Linked DNA regions of Drosophila melanogaster. The protein of the gene in region 1 interacts with the protein of each later gene in a pairwise test. Each region holds a gene or a part of one and is shown in the gene's direction. Other genes may lie near its edges. The genes, in order: Rbp6, yuri and CG18754.

Region 1 (6,333 bases):
TTCGTTAACTTCCTGAAGAACCCGCAGCAGTATATTGATTTAGGCGCCAAGATACCGAAGGGTGCCATGCTAACTGGCCCACCCGGAACGGGTAAAACGCTACTGGCCAAGGCTACCGCCGGCGAGGCGAATGTACCGTTTATTACCGTGTCGGGATCCGAGTTCCTCGAGATGTTTGTGGGCGTGGGACCTTCTCGTGTCCGCGACATGTTCGCCATGGCCCGAAAGCATGCTCCCTGCATCCTCTTCATCGACGAAATCGATGCTGTGGGTCGCAAACGTGGTGGCAAGACCTTCGGTGGCCACTCGGAGCAAGAGAATACCCTTAACCAGCTTCTGGTGGAAATGGATGGCTTCAATACCACTACGAATGTGGTCGTACTGGCCGCCACTAATCGTGTTGATATTCTGGACAAGGCTCTCATGCGACCAGGTCGTTTCGATCGACAGATTTATGTACCAGCACCTGATATTAAGGGCAGGGCGAGCATCTTTAAGGTGCATCTGGGTAACCTGAAAACGTCGCTGGACAAGAACGAGCTGAGCAGAAAAATGGCTGCACTGACACCAGGCTTCACAGGCGCTGACATCGCGAATGTTTGCAACGAAGCTGCTTTGATTGCCGCCCGCGACTCCAAGGATTCGATCGTACTCAAGCACTTCGAGCAGGCCATTGAGCGTGTTATCGCTGGCATGGAGAAGAAGACCAATGTTCTGGCGCCGGAGGAAAAGCGAACGGTGGCACACCACGAGGCTGGCCATGCGGTGGCCGGTTGGTTCCTGGAGCACGCAGATCCCCTGCTGAAGGTCTCGATTATACCACGCGGCAAGGGTCTGGGCTACGCCCAGTATCTGCCCAAGGATCACTACTTGCTGTCCAAGGAGCAGTTGTTCGATCGCATGTGCATGACGCTCGGCGGACGTGTGGCCGAAGAGCTGTTCTTTAATCGCATTACCACTGGTGCTCAGGATGATCTAAAGAAGATCACCGATATTGCCTACTCCCAGGTGGTGCGTTTCGGCATGAACGAGAAGGTCGGGCAGGTCAGCTTCGATGTGGGCCAGGCCGGTGATCCCGTTTTCAGCAAACCATACTCGGAGGACACAGCGCAGCTGATCGACAACGAGGTGAGGTCGATTATCAAATGTGCCCACGAGGCCACCACTAGTCTGCTGACCAAGCACAAGGAGAATGTTCAAAAAGTGGCGGAAAGACTGCTCCAAAACGAAGTGCTCAGCCGTGATGATATGATTGAGCTGCTGGGCCCACGACCCTTCAAAGAGAAGTCAACCTACGAGGAGTTCGTCGAGGGTACCGGCTCCTTCGAGGAGGACACCACTCTGCCCGAAGGCCTCAAGAGCTGGAACAAGGAAAAGGAACGAACGGAGCCTCTGGACGCTGGCAGCACGCCATCATCGCCGCCCACCAAGCCCGTAACTGCCCAGAGCAGTTAGGCAACGATCTTCGCTCATGTGGATGGGGAGTTTTGGTGTGGTAGTTCGAGGGTGCCGACATCTGTTTGTTTTTGTTGTAATCCCTAAACGCGGACCGGAGAAAACCCCGACATGTGGCAGATCGAGAAGGCAGGGCTCAAGGAGTTCCTAGACCTTCTGGAGTTACAGTTCTCCACGACGCGTTCATTATTGTTTTTGCATAATTTTAAGATACCCACATGGATAACTTGTTCCCGTGTTGAGCAATTAAGTGCTAGCCTGTACTAAATTCCCCGTATGCGTAGTTTCAAAATGGCAATAAAGAATGGAAATGACCTGTCAGTGTGGAAAAGCGAAATTAAACGATGTTATCAAGGCGAAAAATAATCGAATCAGTGTTGTTACTGCCTTACGGTTTAAACCCGTTTTCGAAAACAGCAAAAGTTGCAAAATACATACAATGTATTGCTTCATTATGTATATTTCATACAATAAAATGTTATGATAACATTGGAATGCAAAATTTGTTCTTAACTTTGGGATAGCCAGCTTTATTCTTAAGTTGACTGATAGTGCCAGGTTAAAATTTTTTTCAGTGTGAGCTTTTAAAGCTGCACGCGGTTTAAGAGAGTGCCGCTCTCTTCGGTAAGCTTTCTCCGCAAACTTTCGCCGGCTACTCTTCCTCGCTGCGGCTTATCACTTATCAGCTGTGATGCTGAAGTACATGCGCCATGTGCAGCCGGTAAATAGTGCAACTGCCGCAGTCGGCGCCTCTGCCGGTGCAAAGCTCCGTAGGGGCAGCACCAGCGGCAACAACAACAGCAGCAACAGCAGCGAAGGCAGAGAGTGCAGCAGTGCAGTCGACGTCGCTGCCGCCGGTCGTTTTGGGGCCGTCAGTTGGGTTTTGGGGTCTCGCCGCTCAGTGTCGTCTTGTTGGTTGTCGCGTTCGTGTGCGCGCACTGAGAAAAGCGGAACGCCAGCGTTGCACTAACCGTTGCAGTTTCTATATTACTCTCGAGTCGCCCGATTTCAGAGCTGTTCGTACCGCTCGTGGGAGTGCGTGCGTTTTAACCAAAACAACTACCAAATCGCGTACAAGATACCAAACCAATATAACCGAGAGGCCCGAAAGGAAAACCCCTGCTGTGGAGGGCATTTTGCATTTTGTTTACCTCGATGGCTGTGTGGAGTGCAATTTGACGATTATATAATATAAAATACAAAATACAAAAAATAGGGAAAACGAGTAACAGTGCGCGGCATTCGATTTTAATTGCAATCAACTACAATAACCGCTGAAGTAGAGGAGTTAAAGCGCAAACCTCTCCCTCGCACCCCCGCCCTCCCTCTCACTCACACTCACTAACACATTGCGTTTGTGTTGATCTTTCCTGCAAAATGGCTGCCGGCCGGCAAAATAACGGCAACATCCATACTTGATCGATAGAAAGAGAGCGGCAGAGAATCCCTAGCGATTTCATGTTTGATTTATTGGATTTTATTTTTCCTGAGACTTTCCTTTAGGCTTCTTGTTTGATTTCTTAGAAAATTAAAATTATGTATTTATGACAAATGGTGACCATTAGGATGAACAGAACAAGGAGGAGAATTTAATGCTAATGTTTATTTATTTTGTCAAGAAAATTATATTTAAATTTGTTTTGCCATTTGCATTTATTCTGCTTTAAGATAGGAAGCAAAATATCTCTTATCAATTAGTGTAAAATCAATCAACAAACACGTGTATTACATAAAATTTAAATTTGATTAATATTTTCGTTCCTTTTATTAGAGATCTTCGTTGTGATCACTTTTATAAAATGGCTGACATCGGTAACGGTAACTTCGATTACTGATCAATCGAGCGCCCCCTGTCGGCGATTCTCTTAGCTCTGTTTTAGTTTATCGTTTATTTTGTTTTATTTTGTGCTGCCAATTGTCGCAATTGCAATTGTCGGGTCACGTGTTTGTTGCTGCCGCCAGTTAACTTCTGCTCTCGTTGTAACGGTGCATGTTCCCTGTGCGGGTGTGTGTGTGCTGATGTACGATTGTGTGTGTGCGTGTCTGTTCGTGAAAGCTTGCATGCTGCGCGTTATTATATTGTTGCTGGCGTTGTTGTAATTTTTGTTGAGGGAGTCACTGCATGCAATGTTCTTCTTGCCCTTTCGCACCTCCCTATCTATCTATCTCTGTCTTTTTCTATTATTTGTTGTTGCTTTTACTGCTGTTGTGGGTGTGGGAAAAATCAAGGCGCGTATTAAGCACAGAAAATGCAAAAAAGAACACACACAAAATATAGGAAAGCGAATAATTTCGGAGAGAAAGCAACGGAAAATAATTGCTTTAACAAGCAAAAGTTCAAAGCTATAAAATTTGGATGCCAGCATTTTTGAATTTCCGAAAAATTGTTCGGGAAACCAAGGTGTTTCTGGCGTAAAAAAAAGTGTCACTTAAAACCTTTTTAATGTTAAAAATCGTTCAGATTATTTAACAACGATGGGAATTTATGAAATTAGTAGAGAGCTTTTTACTAAATATTTGGAATTTTATAATTATTACACAAGCTCACAATAAGTAAACACGTATACTTATAATTTTTGAAAAACATTTGGATCTTTAACCTTTTATATTTAGTTTTCTTAATTTTTTATGAGACGCCTATTCTAAGAAAATTAATTTGATGGCTCATGCCATATGTGTAAAGTGAGTCAAATTTATTTCAAACAAAGATCTTTTACAGTCTTAGTACCGCATCCCAATTGTCACTCAGCCGTTACTTAACCGCCCCCCTTTTCCCACCCGTTCCTCACCTGGCTTTTCCACGGTTTTCCTCCCTCTCTCTCTCTATCGCTCCCACATCGGTTGCACTTTTTTGCATTTTACGATTGTTCGTTGCGAATCATTGCATTTTAGGGGGTGGGTGGGGGTGGTGCAGCAGCTGCGGATGGGTGGGAAAGCGAGGAGTGGCGAGGGGGAGCGAGTGAAGGGGAAAATTGCATTTTCAAAAGTTTCCCTGGGCAAAGTTTAAAATTGCAATTTAATTAATTTTCACCAAACACAACGAAACAGATCTTTTGCAGTAATATGTTGCCTTCAAATCAATTGGGAAACCAACAACCAAAGTTAACGCAACGTTTCTAAAACTTAAAGTCTAAACAACAAACGAAATAATAGTTACGAAATACACAATAATATTTAAACCAAACCAAAAGTGGCCTGCAAAACGAAGCAACCAAAACAACCAAAACAACCAAGAAATGTGATTCAATGTGTGCAATGTAACCAAATTATAATTAACAAGCTAAATAAAACGATAACTAGAGCAGGAGAAAAGCCGTGGAAAATCAGCGGGAAAGCCAACCAAAGCCAGGCCAAATGGAAAACAAGGAATCCGGCAGCCAATCGAACAGCCAACTAGCAGCCATCGTGGCCAATGATTAAGGGAACACTCTGTTAGCCAACTCGTAGTAGCAGCATCCCCCGTCCACACATAACACCCAGTAACACAGCCACTCAGCCGCACAGAACCACTCGACCTCCCCTCGCATCTCGATGCTCGCACAGAAGGCGTTGGAGCAACAATTATAGAATAGACAGCCAGACGACCACATCAGCTCAGCTCAGCCCCAACTGCAAACTCCAATCACCAGCTCCAGCTCCAACTCAATCTCAATCCCGAGCCAAAACCCCCAACATGGACATCAAGATTGAGCAGCAGCAGCAGCAACAGCAAGTGGAGCTGGGACCCTGTTCCCCCTCGGAGGTGCCCAATGATCCCGGGTAAGTGTGCTGCTCTTATATGTACATGTATACCCTAGCGAAAGGGTATCTCAGAAAGTAGAGAATATATTTTAATCAACTTGAGAAGAAAAAGATTTACTTCGATTTATTTATATTACTTTCGCTCTACAAGCACTAAAAATCACCATCCTTAAAAGGATGTGCGAAATTTATATTTCAGTTCTGTAAATCATAATTAAAATATATTTTCCTAAGACCCTAACTTAGATTTTTCGAGAAAAGGGCATTCAAACTTCGCATTGTCGAGTTGGACGAGAACTTTTTTATTTAGTTTGAGGTCATGGACGTGGCATTAATTGTTTAAGTTTTAAGTTTGTCATTATTGAAGCGCAGGGCGCCGGAAGCGAATGGAGCGTGTCCTGGGGAGCGGTGTCAAGGCAGTTATAGTTGTTGACAGAAAGTTTTCTATGTCAACTGGGTCCGGAACTGGCCGAAAGCGGCCAGAAATGGACGATGGCCCAGCTGGGGATCCAAGTCTGCGAAACTAATTAGAAAACAATTTGCCAAGGACATCAAAATTCAATTAAAGCCATTCGGCTTAGTGCTTTAGTGCAATGCAGTTGCTGCCCTCGACTCGCTTTCATCCTTCCGGCAACAGTTTATTATCAGTCCGATTCCCCAGCTTCCAGCTTCCCAGCCCCTCATTCAAAATTTATACTTGTGCCAAAATGGGTTAAGTTGTGATTGCGGTGTCATATGCAGTAGATTAATTGCGAGCTGCATTGCTGATAATTTGCATCGGTTTGCAGTAGTCTCCTTGGTGGTCGGGGGTGCAGTTTGGCTGTCAGAAAGTCGGACTAGCAAATGGATGATCCGGTAATTGGCAGCCAAGTGAACTGATTGAAGGTAGTGGTGGAGCGGACTTTTGACGCAGCCCATAAAGTGAACAATTTACTGAATAGGGAGCTCTCGTCGTTTTGTTCGAATTCGCATAGAATGTAATATTTTCAGTTGAATGGAAATCCAAAAAAAGATGTATGATGATTAGAAATTCACAAAAAGGTGAACTATTTCACAGAAAACTTTATTTTCAAATTGAATCTGGCAATTGGCTCCTATTCAATGAAAATTGATACTCTAAATTAAGTAATAATTTAT
Region 2 (9,387 bases), on another chromosome or scaffold:
AGACAGCAACTCCGAACTGCAATATACCCGCCGCTCCGCGTGAAGCCTTTGACATTTTCAAGAACTTCTATCTAAATAAGCACTCAGGACGTCAATTGACGTTACAGCCACAAATGGGTTAGCTACTTAAATGATCTTCTTTTTTAAGCAACTACTGTATTTATGCCTTCCCCTTCGAATAGGAACCGCCTATATCAACGCTGTGTTTTATGGCCGCAAGGCAGTTGAAAGTGAAAAGGATAAAGATGCACCCAGCTCCAGTTCAAGCGGCTGTGGGGTGCCCACCACCACACGCAAGCACATATTGCAAGTGTCCACGTACCAGGTAAGCTAAAATATCTTTTAGTTCGTACACCTCCGAATTTTATTTAGCAGAAGCAGCTTTATTTCATTGATCTGAAAAAAATATTTAACTAAACATTTAACATGTATTTCATAATCCAAAATTAGATGTGTGTGCTACTGCTGTTTAATAACCGCGACGTGCTCACCTACGATGACATACACCAGGAGACCGATATACCGGAACGGGAGCTCGTCCGAGCACTACAATCGTTGTCCATGGGCAAACCCGCTCAGCGTTTGTTAGTACGCAATTCTAAAACGAAAACTAAGGACATTGAGCCCACGGATGAGTTTTACGTAAACGACGCCTTCAACTCCAAGTTCCACAGGTTAGATATTACTTTCAGTGCGAAAGAACGGCGCCTGGTAATAATATCGAAACTATTTTAGGGTGAAGATACAAACGGTAGCCGCCAAGGGAGAATCAGAGCCAGAGCGTAAGGAAACGCGCGGAAAGGTCGACGAGGATCGTAAGCACGAGATCGAAGCGGCTATTGTGCGCATAATGAAGGCCCGCAAGCGTCTGGCTGTAAGTATTATACGTTTGCTATCTGGTTGGATTGTGATTTAACCATGATTCCTGTTTTTATTTTCTTAGCACAACTTGCTAGTATCAGATGTGACGTCGCAGCTAAAGTCGCGTTTCTTGCCCTCGCCCGTGTTTATCAAAAAGCGCATTGAGGGCCTAATCGAGCGCGAGTATCTGCAACGATCGCCGGAAGATCGCAAAGTGTACAACTACTTGGCCTAAGCGGCCCACAAAAAGTAGCAGGAGCGTCTTAAGCAGGATCCGGAACACACTCATCTTCAAATCGCCAGGGCTTGCACACTAACTGAAAAACACAATCTGCAGCTCGGACGGAATGGCCTGAGCATACGAGCGGCATTGATATGGCGGATACTGACCACGATTATAGATGACCGCCAGCCAATAACCCGAATACATAAATATATCAATTAGTGCGCCCCGAATCGTAAAATTTCGTTTCGCAACCCATTTTGTAAGCCTGACATTCAAAATTCAACAGTTAAAAATGCTATTGGATAAGGCACCACCATAATTATTATCCCTCTAATATATTTCTTGATATTCTCTAATTACTGTTTATGGTCATTTCTTTGCGCATAACAAGTGTATAGCAGTAAGCCCAAACAACCACATACACACCTGCTCCACCACCACCCCATTCAGAGCCACAACCACACACACCACATCCACCCACAAGAATCGTACGCAAAGCAAGATAAGAGAAATAATGCATAATGCAGCCCCTAATTGTAAGCAGCTGAGTAAAAAGGTAAAGAAGCAACAACAGAAATATAAGCAAGAAAATATTAATAACTATAAATATAGCTAAAGTAATAAATTTATAAATGAATTATGAATTTTAGAGAGCGTTTGATGTACATTTATACGTCGTCTGTTTCAATCCAAATAAAAACATTCATCCCACGTTTTGAGATGCGTGTGAACAGAACGTAAGGATTGCAATGACTATTCATATTCCTCTATCTTCATTTTTTGTGTACGCCCAAAGCAACGTGAAGTGATTATGATAATCTGTACGAAAAAGTTGTTTTATCTATTAGTTGATATGTGGGAATCGATTCCAGGCATATGTAGGCAACACTTCTGTAATGGATTTGAGTTAAGTAGGACACACATAGAATTGATTTTGAAAAACAATTTAACGCCGAACCGAAAGCACGAAAACGGAAGCAAGCAAACGCGATCTAAACACTGTAAATAAATTTTGTTCTTACATAAAAGAGAAATCGATATAAATAAAACGTATAATGAGCGTTAACACAGTTGTTGTCTATCTTTTAAAAGGATTTTAAAATATTTTCAATGAAATGCTTTTATTCGCCTGTACAATAAAACGAACTTGGTAACAATTTAAATCTGCAAAAAATCTACTGTTTTCAATTGGTGCCCAACATATTGTGCTAATCGTGTAAAATTTGGGATGGGCAATAAGACTTAAGGATTGGCATAATCATTCTCTGAATCATTCGAAATTTTTTAGTTCTTAATCTTTAAAATTCATGGTTTTTGCAGCTTTTTTCCAGCTATTGTGTAACCGCGTTGAACGACCATATCGGAGTTATCAATGCGACCAAACAAACTTATCCATGGGCAAATATACACCGGATGAGTTAACAATTATACGAAATTGGCAGAACCCCGAAACCGCAACTTGGGCAAACAGCGATGACTTTCGCATATTGTGTAAGATACATACATACATATGTATATCGTGAGCCCGGCCAGAAATTCAGAATGCTAAGTTCTTGGGTAAACACACGCAGCGATCCAATTCGATTCCCCGACGCACTGATAAGCGCTGAGAGTCCGTCGAGTTTTTCAACTCTCTAGAGAGCCGCTCTTGGCCGGTGGTGGTGGGGAGCGAGTGTGTGGAGCGGAGCGCTCAGTTCGGTTTCGTTGGCGATCGCGAACGGAGCGCAGACGAAACGCGCGGTATTTGGATCGTGGCAAGAAATAAAAACAACAACATGCTGAAACCGTATACTTAATACGCGTGTGTGTAGCTCAAAAACAAGAAAAATATAAATAAACAAAACTACATTGCTACGTCAGAAGACTGCAAACAAAAGATATGAACGCAGCGCGCTGAGCTGCTCTTGACGTCGCCGCCAAGGTTCGAATCAGATATATTTTCTCTATTTTTTATTTTTTTTTCCGCCCATTTTTGTGTTGTTTTTAATAAGCTTACAACTTTACAAGTGTTTTTTGTTGTGATTTTTGTACTTTCGTGAGTGATTTGTGATTTGCGATTTGCGTGCAGTTGAAGGCGAGGAGAACTGCATTCGATCTTTCCGATCAGCAGTGCCTTGAGATTGCCGCTTTCGAAGTGAACGTTTCGATGTAGAAACCTTAAAGTCATACTCATGTCTAATTACACAAGCTATTCCCTGGCCGACTAAATCAGCTCTTAGTAAGAAGAACGTGGTAATTACATTTTGAATTGATATCATGGCCAGTCGCCAAGCCGGTTTCGTCCTAGACGCCAAGTCCATGGGTCTGAATCCGTCGAGACCTGCATCATCGCCACCGCCACCACCATCATCTGCCAGTCAAATGTGTCGGCAAGTGCAGCCAACCGGAACGAGTGCCTCGCATCCACATCAAGAATCGACGCTAAAAGCCTCATCTCCTGATCGGTGCACTGCCAGCACCGAGGCGATGTCCACCGAACATTACCGCTGTCTGATCCAGAAGCTGCGGGATACCAACGGCGATGCTGGCGATATGAGCTTTGAGCTGAACAGCATATTTCTGAAGCGGCTGGACGAGATTGACTGCCTAGATGAGCACGAGGGTGATGACATGGTGAGATTCGTTGTAAATCAAGGATGGTATCCATTGAAACTAATTCCTAGCAAAATCCCCCTTGAGATAAATTATTTTATATGACCCATTTTCATACCCTTTTAGCACACTTGCCAGTTGCGTCTGGTCACTTTTCAGGAGTGGGTGGATTTCCTGCTCCACGTGAACAGCGTGATCCTGGGCAACGTGTCGGACTTGGAGAAGGAGGCGTACAGCAAGATCGTTGCCTGCTGTCAGTCTGTCCAAGTGCGACAACAGCATACCCTCGAGGAGAATCGTAGGCTGCGTGAGGACATTTGTGCGATCATAGAACGCGTGCAGCATTCTCCTCACTGCACCGACTTTGATTTCAATGGCATTTCCCTAGAGACACTGACCGTTAATCAATTGCGGGGCGTGGGAAAGGATCCCGCCCACGCGGAATGCGAGAGCGAGAAGGTAGGCCATAGATCCTTGAAGGGAAAAGGCGGCGGTGATTCCAATGTCAAGTGGGACCCGAAGTCGTCCCACAAGCGCGAGAACTCTAAATGATTGTCTCGCTAACTAAATACGTATATTTTGTGCTGCTCTTAATAAAATTTGATATTTTGTTCATCGATATTTAATGCTTGGCTTTGATTGGCGTTTAACTTTGTTCGCAGATGTCCGAGAGCATGAAGTCCTTAGTCGGCGAGATAGCCGCCAAGCATGACGAGATCGGCGAACTGAAGTCACAGATCAATGCCTTGGACGAGGTTGTACACACGGCCAGGCAGAAGTTACTTTTGAAGGATCAGTGCATAGCACAGCTCAATCAACAGGTGAGATATCCTATTGTGGCATTACTCAACCAGAAATCTGCATATGTGCATTGTGTGCTTATGGAAGGAATTTATTCAATTCGTTGTTTTAAAAACAAAAAACAAAAACATCATCGTCGTCAGGTGACGTTACTCATTATTGAGCTCAGTTTAATTATAGATTCATTGGAATACTTTTCTTATCGCTTAATCGGCTGCTTAAGCGTACAATCGAAAACCTAATCGAGTATCTTTTTAGTGAAATACCGAATTTCTTGGTAAAATTTTCAGTGTATTCAATCAAAAAGCACATCGAAACTTTCTAACTAGCTTTTTTTTAACATTCCAAATACCGTGAAAACAGCTGCACGAGATCACCCGGTGCATTGAGTCCAGAGATCAGGCCAAAATGGAGGAATCGCCCAACGATACACTGACCGCGGACGCGATTACAAGCGATATGCTCGAGAATCTCTCGATCCACGACACCCAGGAGAGCGAAATGCTGCGGCTGCTAAACGCGGAGCTCAATGATCTTCTCGATCTGCACAACAAACAGGAGTTCCAGACCATTGAGATTCGGCGAAAACGTGTGTCCTGCTTTATCGAAAAACTGGTGAGGGATTCGACTTACATATTTCTGAGCTTTAGCATATCCTCATTAATTACACCCTTCTTAATCAAAGGTATCCGAGCGTGAGGACACTCTGAAAAAACTCGAGAGCATTCGTAGTCATCTGACAATCCTTCAGTCAGACCTCGATCAATCCTGCCTAATCTCCGTTGATCCCGAATCAGGGCCCTGTGATCTGGACGCGGATGCTCAGATGCTGGAAGCTCTACGTAGACGCCTGCTCAACCTTAGCCAACTTAATCGAGAACTGCACGGAAAGTACCAGCGCCTGGACACCGAGTCGAAAAGTGGGTATATCCGATTCTCGATACTTTTGCTATAACTATTTCCCTATTTGCAAAAAGTCAAAATTTCAGAGCTGGAGGCGAGGATTGAATCGGAAAGCAGCGTTCTTCAAAGAAATAGCGATGTTCTAAGGGAGATCGCCGAACTCATCTGCTCGTTGGTGAGTTAAGACTCTTCTCTATTCTGCAGGATTGCAGGAAATGCATATTAAAAATATGTGCATCATTTCAGGGTTCCAAGGAGTTCTCCTACAACGAAATCTACGACGAATCCTCGAAAGAAAATCCATTTTGTACGACCATTGCGGATATGTTTGCACGGAAATTCGAGCAGGAGCAAAATCAAGTGGAAATTGTGAGTATCTGACGGCTTTGATTGCATCGCAAATAACCAATAGCCGATTCCAATAACCCCGGTTGTCATATCAAATGCAGGAATGCGATACGAAAACACCTTCCCAAACAAGGAAGCCAACCAAAACCACCAAAATCCCGGGAGCCACGGCAAAAACAAACAAACAACAACCAACACCTAAACCTTCAAACAAGCCAACGACAACTAAAACTATACCAACGAAAAACACAACTACAACGTTTAGGACCTCCAAGTAACTATGTCACTTGTTGGGCCTCCTAAACAGTTAGTCTAATCTAAGCCACGTTAAGAAGTTTGTATAGTTTAGCTTAAAGTTTGTCGTTCTTAAGTTATTTATCATCGCGATTGTTCGCCACGAAAACTCAACTCCACTCAAATCTATATCTATCTATATATGGTTAAACAGAAACTAGAATCACAGATTGCTGAAATGAATAGTTTTAATGAAATGAACTAGTTTTAAATAAAGTTTCTTTCATATCCCAACCAAATTATGAGCTTGAAATACATTTCCGATTTACGTTTCAGCACATAGAACTTTCTTCTTATGTGGTAAACGACATTCGCCTTCACATATATACTCGGTACAGTATATACTCGGTAAATCCTGGCTGGATTGACAAAAGAACTACTGTTGCCATTCGAGTCCCCGATTTATTTACCCATATATATATATATATGAATATATATATATTGGGCCCAGACACAAAAGAAAGAGATCCACTTCACTCATCCCGCCGGGCAAATGTCTACATACGACAAATACAAATCGTTCGCCAATGTGTTTATTGTGGAAACTCGGCTGTATGTTCAACTGCAATTGCCCCTGAGGGGGGAGCACCTTCTGCCCTCCAGCCAGTGGAGCTGGCGAATCGGAAATAGGTTTCGTGTTATTTATTTACCCACAATCGACACGCGATTCCGGCGAGCAGTGATATGCATATTGATGAGTGCCGCCGGGATTGGGACTTCACTGACTAGGACTGCTCGTGATCCGCGTGACTGCAAGGACCACGACCATTTACATCGATCTCGATCGTATGCACTAAGTAATTCATAATACCGAACCAACTTAAATTGAGCTCAGTGCAAATACAAATATTTAGTAATTACCTAAATAAATGTTTATTTAGATATGACTAATTCCCGAGGTGTGAACAATAAACAAAGTCGTCACCCCTCACGCCATCATCTCTTTGGCGAAACTGTCGGGCGCAAAATCAAACACAACTCGGCAGGAAGCCCCAGCAGGGGAGCAGTTCGCTTCAGAATCCTGTCATCCGTCGGCGGATTTGGCCGTTTAGTCGCGTGAAGCGAATCAAGGAAGCGCCAGGAATAACGCGCCAAATCCTCGCCAGCCAATTTACGAGGCGTAATTAGTCGCCTAAGTCGCGCTCCGTCGATTTGATTATCTTTTCGGCGCGAAAAACGAAAGGAAAATCGGGCAATTAGAAAGGAGAAAGTTGGCCAAAAGTGCAAATTGTTTTCGAGTGCTTTCGCAAAGAGGGACGCGAAGTGCAGTGAAGAAAGTTGGTGCTGCGAACCGTAAATGTGCAAATGGAGCCGATGGAAAAGCGAATTGTTGGGCTCCGCTAATGGGTTTAATGACAGACAAGGAATCATAAGAATTCATTGCCCCCGTCCCAATCGATTTTCACATTTCCCCGAGCCTGAGCTATCAATTTCGTAGTACTAACCCCCCGCCCCACCCACTGCAATATAATATGCCTTTAAAAGTGTTTTAAGTGCGCCGAGCCACGCTCGCCCAACTCCCCTCCACTCATCATTCATAAATATCCATATATCTATCGTATCCAAGAAATAGACAGACGATATAATACTATTCGCTGCCACCCGCTGCAACTAACTTTATTTTCAAATCGTGTCAAACAGTCGGGCCGCGCAAATAATAATATCTATAAAACTAGGGGAAGTCACCCCCCCCCCCCCCACTCAACCATCCTTCACCCCCCACCCCTTCAAGCACCCAACAAACTTGTGTGTTGCCAAAGTGCCAAAGAAGCGAAACTTTGAAACCGGAAACCCGAAACCTTGCCACCTCCTACGTTTCGAATTGGTTTTATTTTCGTGACAAACTTTTAATAGCAATATTATTGAAATGAAATGAAACGGTAATGAAGCCAAAATTCGTCTGGGGGTCATATTTGCGAGATATATTTGCAAGCTCGGCGGCACGAAGGCTCCATTTCTAGGCATTCGACACCGAAAACGATTTAAACACATAGATATGTACATCCGCGTATCTGCAATCGACAATTGACAACTGACAGGTGATTTCGTGCGCGGATTTGCAGGCAATTAGTTACCGATTTCCGAGTGGCCATGGTAAGCCTCGAGAATAGCGGTACCAACCAAGTGAGCCACAACTCAATTTGAATTTGTAGAACACAGGCAACAGCTCCACCGATTGCCCCCACCGCCAGCAGTTGGAGCACACGCTGCTCCACTGCCAGACCGAGTCGGATCTACTGCAGGCCACCCGGGATAATTACCTCAGCATCATCGATGAGTTCAAAAGGGATCTCGAGGAGCTGACCGAACAGGTGGAGCAGCAGCAGCAGCAGCTGCAGCAGAGCTCACTAGCCAGCCAATCCTGCCCAGAGCCCGAGCTCCATTTCGTCGATCAGTCACGGATCAACTGTGAACTGGAGATACAAGTTGGATCCACTAAAGCACACATTTACCAAATTGCTCCTAATCGTTTCTCTGATTTCTCGCCCACTTTTTTCCCCACCAGAACGGACAACTTTCCTGCCAAATCAAGGGACTGCAGGAAAATCTAAAGGATCGAGATAACCAGATTAGCCAGCTGCAGTCCATGATCAATAGCTACTCCGATTTCAGCGAGAACAATCGGCTCAAAGAAGAGATGCATGTCCTCAAACAGAAGAATTGTGAGAGAAAACTTATAATTTTCAATTAAAAGCTCTTTCTATATATATATATATATATATGTATACTATCAGGTGATCTATCCCGCCAACTGCGAGACCTCCCTTCCCTGCTGAAAAACCAAGAAAATCAAAGCGTGGAACTCTGCACGAAGTACGAAAGCCTGATGGCCAGCTTCGAGGATCAGTGCCAGGAGCTCAAGGACGCCAAGAGGAAAGCGCAGAGCCTGCAAACGCGACTGGATCAGGTGGAGCAGCTGCAGGATGAGCTGAGAACAGAGGTGGCGTATCCGACTATTGTCGTCCTTGGGCACAAAGAAAACTGAGGTATTATGAATTTCAGCGCAAAATCTTGCGAGAGGAGGTGGTCGCTTTGAAGGAGAAGGAGGCTGTGTCCTCGGGCCGAGAGCGGGCACTTCAAGATCAACAAAAGAGTGCCCAGTTGGAGATGGAAAAGATGCGCACTCTTGTTCGGAAAATGCAGAGCCATCTGCAGCTGGATGACATCCGGCATCGCGAAAGTATCCAGCGGATGAACGAGACAACTGAATCTCTGCGGGAGGAGTTGCGCACCATTTCGGAAAATTGCCAGCAAATGCAGATCCGCCTAAAGTAGGTAATTTTCCAGGATAGAGTGCATCCATATAAGAGCAGCTGCCATGTTCTCTCTTCCCGCCAGTCAACAGACCGAAGTTAACCAGC
Region 3 (6,523 bases), on another chromosome or scaffold:
CACACCGAGTTCGATCTGTTGACCGTGAACGAGAGCAGCGTGGAACCACCGACCGACGACGACAGCTCATGCAACTCCCCTCGCAACCTGGCCATCGAGGCGACTTTCATTAACCACAACTTTAGCCAGCAGGTGCTTAAGACTGGAGACCAGGAACCCAAATACAAGTTCGAGGAAAGCAACCCTTTCATCAGCGAGGACGAAGATATCCAAGTCGCCAGCGTGGGCTACCGCTACAAGAAGTGGGAGCTGGGAAGCGATATTGTAAGTGTTGCATAATCCAACTTTAAAGTTGGAATATTTTTCTATATTATGTTAAACTATTGTCTTATACTTTTAGGTCCTGGTAGCGCGTTGCGAGCACGATGGTGTCCTGCAGACGCCAAGCGGCGAGCCGCAGTTCATGACTATCAAGGCACTCAACGAGTGGGACTCGAAGTTGGCCAATGGCGTGGAATGGCGTCAAAAGTTGGACACGCAGCGCGGTGCTGTGCTCGCCAACGAGCTGAGGAACAACGCATGCAAGCTGGCCAAGTGGACTGTGCAGGCCGTCCTGGCCGGGTCCGATCAGCTAAAGCTCGGCTATGTGTCGCGTATCAATCCGAGAGATCACTCGCGTCACGTCATCCTCGGCACGCAGCAGTTCAAGCCGCATGAATTTGCCACTCAGATCAACCTGAGCATGGACAACGCCTGGGGAATCCTGAGATGCATCATCGATCTGGTGATGAAGCAGAAGGATGGCAAATACCTGATCATGAAGGACCCCAACAAGCCGATCATCCGTCTGTACGACATCCCAGACAATACTTTCGACTCCGATGACTCGGACGATGGCGAGGGCGATGACGAAGGTTTCCAGCAGGTCTACAACTACGCGCACAACAAGATTTAGACGCCACGCCCCCCTACTCCTGCATCCCTTCCAGTCTTGGGCTCTTTTGCCACAACCCGCTAAGAATAACCACAACTGATGTCCTCTAAAGGAAAAGGTCATGTTATAGGCCCTAGCTTAAGCATTTGTATTCGATTTAAATTCAGATATTTCCTAGTAAATCACAGAGGGCGAAACAATACATGAATTTTTATTGGTCCAGGTCTAATGCCGGGTACTTGTGATAAAAACTTTCGACTGAAACACCGAGGTCTTGTACGTAAATGACTGACTCATTTCCCGGACTCATATATAGTAAGCTGATTGTGCGTGTCGGGCATCTAGTTAAGATTTAGACATTGTTTAAACTCTGACGGTTAAAGATGGTCTTCCTACAAAGAGTGTACATATCCTTCCTGGTCCTGCATACTCAATTGCTGATGTACCTGGCTGAGTCTGGTAATATATGTTGCAAGTACTCCACATTGTATACGTTATAACATTCAAGAAAATGATTCATTTGGATATGGGTATTTCCTTGAATTTTAAAATATAAATAGCTTTGTTTCGTCCAATCATTATCTAAACATCCAATTAAAATGACTCACATAATATAATATTTATTAATATCCAATTCTTTACTGTATCAGAATATCCGCCTTGTAATCTGGATGAGAAATGCATTAGTCTAGCCCGCTGCACATCACTCTTGCCCTTTCTGAAGCCCCACAACATGACGCCAGCCGAGAAGGCGGTATTCGAGGACAGATATTGCGGCTATGGCCCCAAGGGGCAGGAATTATTGGACAGAGTTCTCATCTGCTGCCCAAATATGGGACACATTTTGCCAAATACCCAGATATGTGGACCAATCATGCCGGCTTATCGAATTTTCGGAGGAGAGGAGACGCAACCCAACGAGTTGCCTTGGATGGCCCTGATTCTATATGCGCATCGCAGCCGTTCGGTGTGGAATGAAAGACTCGTGTCCAGGTGCGCTGGATCCCTGATCACAAACCGCTATGTGCTGACCGCAGCCCATTGTCTGAGGATAACGGGATTGGATCTCAGGAGGGTGCGCCTTGGCGAGCATAACATTTTAAGCAATCCCGACTGCGTCACCCATATTAATGGTAGGGAACACTGCGCTCCAGAGCATCTGGAAATTGACGTCGATCTGAGTATCAAGCATAGGCACTACATGGTCTTCGAGGAAAGGCCCTACAACGACATCGCCCTGCTGCGATTGAAGTTTCCAGTACGGTTAGTTGCACTTGACCTGTCATATCTTTTACTACATATATATATATATATATACATTTCATATGTCTTTAGCTATACCGCTCAAATCAAACCCATCTGTGTTCAACTTGACTATATCTTCTCGAATCCGTCCTTCAGCAACCATAAGTTGCAAATAGCTGGCTGGGGACTCTCTCATAAGCAGGGCTATAGCAATGTGCTGCTACAGGCCTATGTCAATGGCAGGAACGCGGACGAGTGCTCATTGAGTGAACCATCCTTGGGATTGGACAAGGAGACCCACATATGCGCCGGCAACCTGGGAGGCAATGACACATGCAAGGGCGATTCCGGCGGTCCGCTGATGGCCATCATGGAACGTGGTGACGAGGAATTCGTATATCTAGCCGGAATCACATCCTACGGGTACAGTCAGTGCGGATACGGACCAGCAGCTTACACAAAGACATCCAAATTCGTTGAATGGATTCTATGGAACATGTACACTAATATATTCCAATGAAATAATCAAAATAGTAGAATTTGGTTAAGAAAAGAAATATTTATTGTCCGGCACTGAGCCCAAATTATCGCAAAAATAAATTAGGAAATTTCATTGAGTCATTGGGATTTATGAGTTTGTTGATCCATTTTATTCTGTATATTTAGTGTCAGATCGAGTTTGGATGTCTAGCATGTCGGACAGACGTAAAGTTTATATTTTGGTCCTTCTCCAGGCCATTTTCTTCAACCAATTGGCTGAGTGTGGTAAGCAAAAGCAATGATTTTTAAGTTTTCGTAAAAAACCGAAGATGTTATATCTTGCTCAATAATATCCTTGCAGAGGATGTGTGCTGTGAATAGGTCACGTTCGACCCCATGAATTATAAAAATTATCATATCCATCGATCCGTTTTATTATAAATCATATTCAAAAATAATAATAATAATAATATTTCCACATAGACTCGTACTGCTATACTTTATCGGGGCTTTCACTTATCTATTTTTGTAATTTATAGTTCGGTTATCAAGCTGCCAAAAGGATGAGAAATGCACCAGACTGGTTAGCTGCTCGCCGCTTATGAACATCCTTAGGCCCCGGGGCATGACCCAGGCGGAGAAAGATGTGTTTGCACACAGGCAGTGTGGCCTGGACCCCAATGGACACGAGTTGTTGCACATGGTTTATGTCTGCTGCCCAGAGTTGGGTGACGTCTTGCCCAACAAACAGACCTGTGGACAAACGACGCCCGTGTTCCGAGATCGGGGTGCCGAGAATGCAGAGCTTAATGAGTACCCTTGGATGGTATTGCTGTTATATGAGAATCGGCTATCCTTGATGTGGAATCAACGAACTGGTTGTGCGGGCTCACTGATCAACAGTCGCTGTTCACACATGAACACGAATATATTTAAAGACTTACAATTTTGGGCTCCGTTCATATCTTATGTAAATGAATCGAGAGCGATAAATTATATTTAGGATTTTGTTATCTAAGGCGACATGGGTGCATTGCTCAAAAACATGTAATTTAAGTGCACACTACATGAGTCAGTCACTTGAGATCTTTCCCCGCCTCCTAAAATAGTCCCTTAGTGGGAGACCACAGATAAGGTCCTCGCCGCTCAAGATAGGCAGATGTGCCCGAGCGTGGGACCTCGATAAGGCGGGGACTATTTACTTAGGCCTCTGCGTAGGCCATTTACTTTAAGATGCGATTCTCATGTCACCTATTTAAACCGAAGATATTTCCAAATAAAATTAGTTTCTTACAAAAACTCAACGAGTAAAGTCTTCTCATTTGGGATTTTACAGTCGCTATGTGCTGACCGCTGCCCACTGCGTGATCGGTGGTTACTTGACGCAGAATGACCTGGTTCTGAAGAGTGTGCGCCTGGGCGAGTCCACTACCGACTGCATCACCTCGGAAAGCAGGTGTCCACATTTGGATGTGGAGGTGGGGCAAACAACAGTACATCAGGGTTTCACTTCGAGTGGCGGAACTTACCGCAACGACATCGCCCTCCTCCGATTGCAATTCCCAGTGCGGTGAGTAGCAGTGATCTCCACCCTAATCTCCACATCTTATGGAAATTTCTTTACAAACCCGCTAGATACACGAAAAAGATCCAACCCATTTGTCTATTGGACGCCGAATTTCCCCTACAGGATTTGAATTTGCAAATCTCTGGCTGGGATCCGACTAAAAGCAGTCAAACGTTGATCACCAGCACGGTCAAGGAAAGGAATCCTGCTGATTGCTTGAATAGGTATCCCAGCTTTCGCTCCGCGTCCCAAGTATGCGCCGGTGGTCAACGGAAAGGGGACACCTGTGCGGGCATCTCCGGCAGTCCGGTAATGGGCATCATGGGAAGCGGCGTCGACGAGTTCGTCTTTTTGGCAGGCATTGCCTCATATGGACAACAATATTGCTACTCTGCTGGTATTCCAGGTGTTTACACAAAAATTGGCCACTTTTCGGAGTGGATCAAAGCGAATTTGGCTCCCTAATTTTAATAAAGAATTCATATTTGCAAAATTGGAATAGCATCTGTTCCATTAATCCACTACTATAAAGTAATAGACCTATAAAACCCCAAAAGATAAGAAAAAGCACTGAAGATTGTTTTTTAAAAAACGTGTTGTTCAAAAAACATAACGTGCCGAGAGAAGATTAAGCATAAATAAATTTCTAATAACTACACCGCTGGGTTTGCCCAGCTCAGCAGAACTACTATGTAAATATTAAGGCAGGGAAAGACCACCCTATTCACATAGCTTTTGCCTTTGTTGCAATCTAGATGGTATTGAGTCCGGAGATAACCTCTGCTAATCACGCCCAATGCATCGGGAGAGAATCGGTGACAGCGAAACTGCCGGACAGCTTGGTTAGTATCAGCTTGGAGCCCATAGCGACGAGATGGCTTCTACGGAACGGAATTTTCTGCTACTGTCACTGGTGGTCAGCGCATTATCCGGCTTGGTCCATCGATCAGGTGGGTAAGCTGTCCTTTGGGCAAACAATATCCACAGCAACTGGATGCAATGGTGCTTCTTTCAAAAGTATATAGTTCTATATATATAGTATAGTATAGTATATAGTTTGAATAAAGCTAGAAAAACTAAGCACTTGACCTTGTTGATTGTGAGAATAAAAACCATAACAACTAATAATCAAAGAGTTTTTGAAAACTTCAAATATATTAAATATCAACATATAGTTTCCCGGACTAAGAAATTTTATGAGAAATATTAGACATGAAGTCCATTAGTAGAATGGATTGCCTTTAATGGATTGGTTCAGAACCGGTTAGACTGCATCGTAAATCGCGCTCTTCTCTTCCAGACGCAGCGGAGATCAGCTTTGGCAGTTGTACGCCCCAGCAGAGCGATGAGCGCGGCCAGTGCGTTCACATCACCAGCTGCCCCTACCTGGCCAACCTGCTGATGGTGGAGCCAAAGACTCCCGCCCAGCGAATCCTTCTCTCCAAGAGCCAGTGTGGCCTGGACAACAGGGTTGAGGGCTTGGTGAATCGAATCCTGGTCTGCTGTCCGCAGAGCATGCGGGGCAATATCATGGACTCGGAACCAACTCCTTCGACGAGGGATGCACTGCAGCAGGGGGATGTGCTGCCTGGAAATGACGTCTGCGGCTTCCTTTTCGCTGATCGCATTTTCGGGGGCACCAATACGACCCTCTGGGAATTCCCATGGATGGTATTGCTGCAGTACAAAAAACGTGAGTAGATTACCTACCCAGGCTCTATTTTAATCTCTTATAGGAAGGTTGTTTCACGAGGTCACCTGTAATCATTTTTTAATCACTTTTTCAAATCAAATTCTCCAATGGGGGGATCATCATTATAAGAAAACGCATATTCAATATATACAAGGCTATTATTAGTATCTAATCAATTTATAATATGTACTTGGGAAACGCTCTTTATCCTTTCAGTTTTTTCTGAAACCTACACTTTCAACTGCGGCGGTGCATTGCTCAACTCGCGCTACGTCCTGACCGCTGGACACTGCCTGGCCAGCCGAGAACTGGACAAATCCGGTGCCGTTCTACACAGCGTTCGCCTGGGGGAGTGGGACACTCGTACCGATCCTGACTGCACCACCCAGATGAACGGACAGCGCATCTGTGCACCGAAACACATCGACATTGAGGTCGAGAAGGGCATCATCCACGAGATGTATGCTCCCAATTCCGTTGATCAGCGTAATGACATTGCGTTGGTGCGCCTTAAGAGGATTGTTAGGTATGTGGTCCAGAGATCCCTCAATTATTCCACTGACTTGCTTTTTTGTTTTTGCCACAGCTACACCGACTACGTGCGTCCAATATGCCTTCCCACGGATGGTTTAGTCCAAAACAACTTTGTGGACTACGGCATGGA

The links.
Region 2: the proteins of Rbp6 (region 1) and yuri interact in a two-hybrid assay, tested with the Drosophila melanogaster proteins (one large-scale study listed by BioGRID).
Region 3: the proteins of Rbp6 (region 1) and CG18754 interact in a two-hybrid assay, tested with the Drosophila melanogaster proteins (one large-scale study listed by BioGRID).

The regions. Positions count from the first base shown.
Region 1 is NT_037436.4:17,234,233-17,240,565, reverse strand, and holds the start of Rbp6 (RNA-binding protein 6), read left to right. Parts: upstream 1-2,353; 5' UTR 2,354-2,734; intron 2,735-4,503; 5' UTR 4,504-5,128; coding exon 5,129-5,214; intron 5,215-6,333. Other genes in the region: Afg3l2 (AFG3 like matrix AAA peptidase subunit 2), read left to right, coding at 1-1,455. UniProt on the Drosophila melanogaster protein: RNA binding protein that regulates the expression of target mRNAs at the translation level. May play a role in the proliferation and maintenance of stem cells in the central nervous system.
Region 2 is NT_033779.5:15,258,083-15,267,469, reverse strand, and holds the start of yuri (yuri gagarin), read left to right. Parts: upstream 1-3,242; 5' UTR 3,243-3,343; coding exon 3,344-3,700; intron 3,701-3,805; coding exon 3,806-4,138; coding exon of another isoform or gene 4,139-4,231; exon of another isoform or gene 4,232-4,303; intron 4,304-4,341; coding exon 4,342-4,500; intron 4,501-4,667; exon of another isoform or gene 4,668-4,843; coding exon 4,844-5,095; intron 5,096-5,165; coding exon 5,166-5,400; intron 5,401-5,457; coding exon 5,458-5,558; intron 5,559-5,629; coding exon 5,630-5,752; intron 5,753-5,832; coding exon of another isoform or gene 5,833-6,009; exon of another isoform or gene 6,010-6,261; intron 6,262-7,726; exon of another isoform or gene 7,727-8,116; coding exon of another isoform or gene 8,117-8,119; intron 8,120-8,178; coding exon of another isoform or gene 8,179-8,451; intron 8,452-8,531; coding exon 8,532-8,688; intron 8,689-8,760; coding exon 8,761-8,966; intron 8,967-9,028; coding exon 9,029-9,297; intron 9,298-9,364; coding exon 9,365-9,387. Other genes in the region: Cul3 (cullin 3), read left to right, coding at 3-117, 183-325, 451-674, 736-874, 944-1,096.
Region 3 is NT_033777.3:23,681,246-23,687,768, forward strand, and holds CG18754 (uncharacterized protein), read left to right. Parts: upstream 1-2,811; coding exon 2,812-2,884; intron 2,885-3,102; exon of another isoform or gene 3,103-3,138; coding exon 3,139-3,460; intron 3,461-3,935; coding exon 3,936-4,169; intron 4,170-4,234; coding exon 4,235-4,631; 3' UTR 4,632-5,040; coding exon of another isoform or gene 5,041-5,116; 3' UTR 5,117-5,292; downstream 5,293-6,523. Other genes in the region: eIF3d1 (eukaryotic translation initiation factor 3 subunit d1), read left to right, coding at 1-264, 341-895; CG16710 (uncharacterized protein), read left to right, coding at 1,258-1,333, 1,525-2,137, 2,210-2,639; SPE (Spatzle-Processing enzyme), read left to right, coding at 5,041-5,116, 5,467-5,859, 6,076-6,385, 6,446-6,523.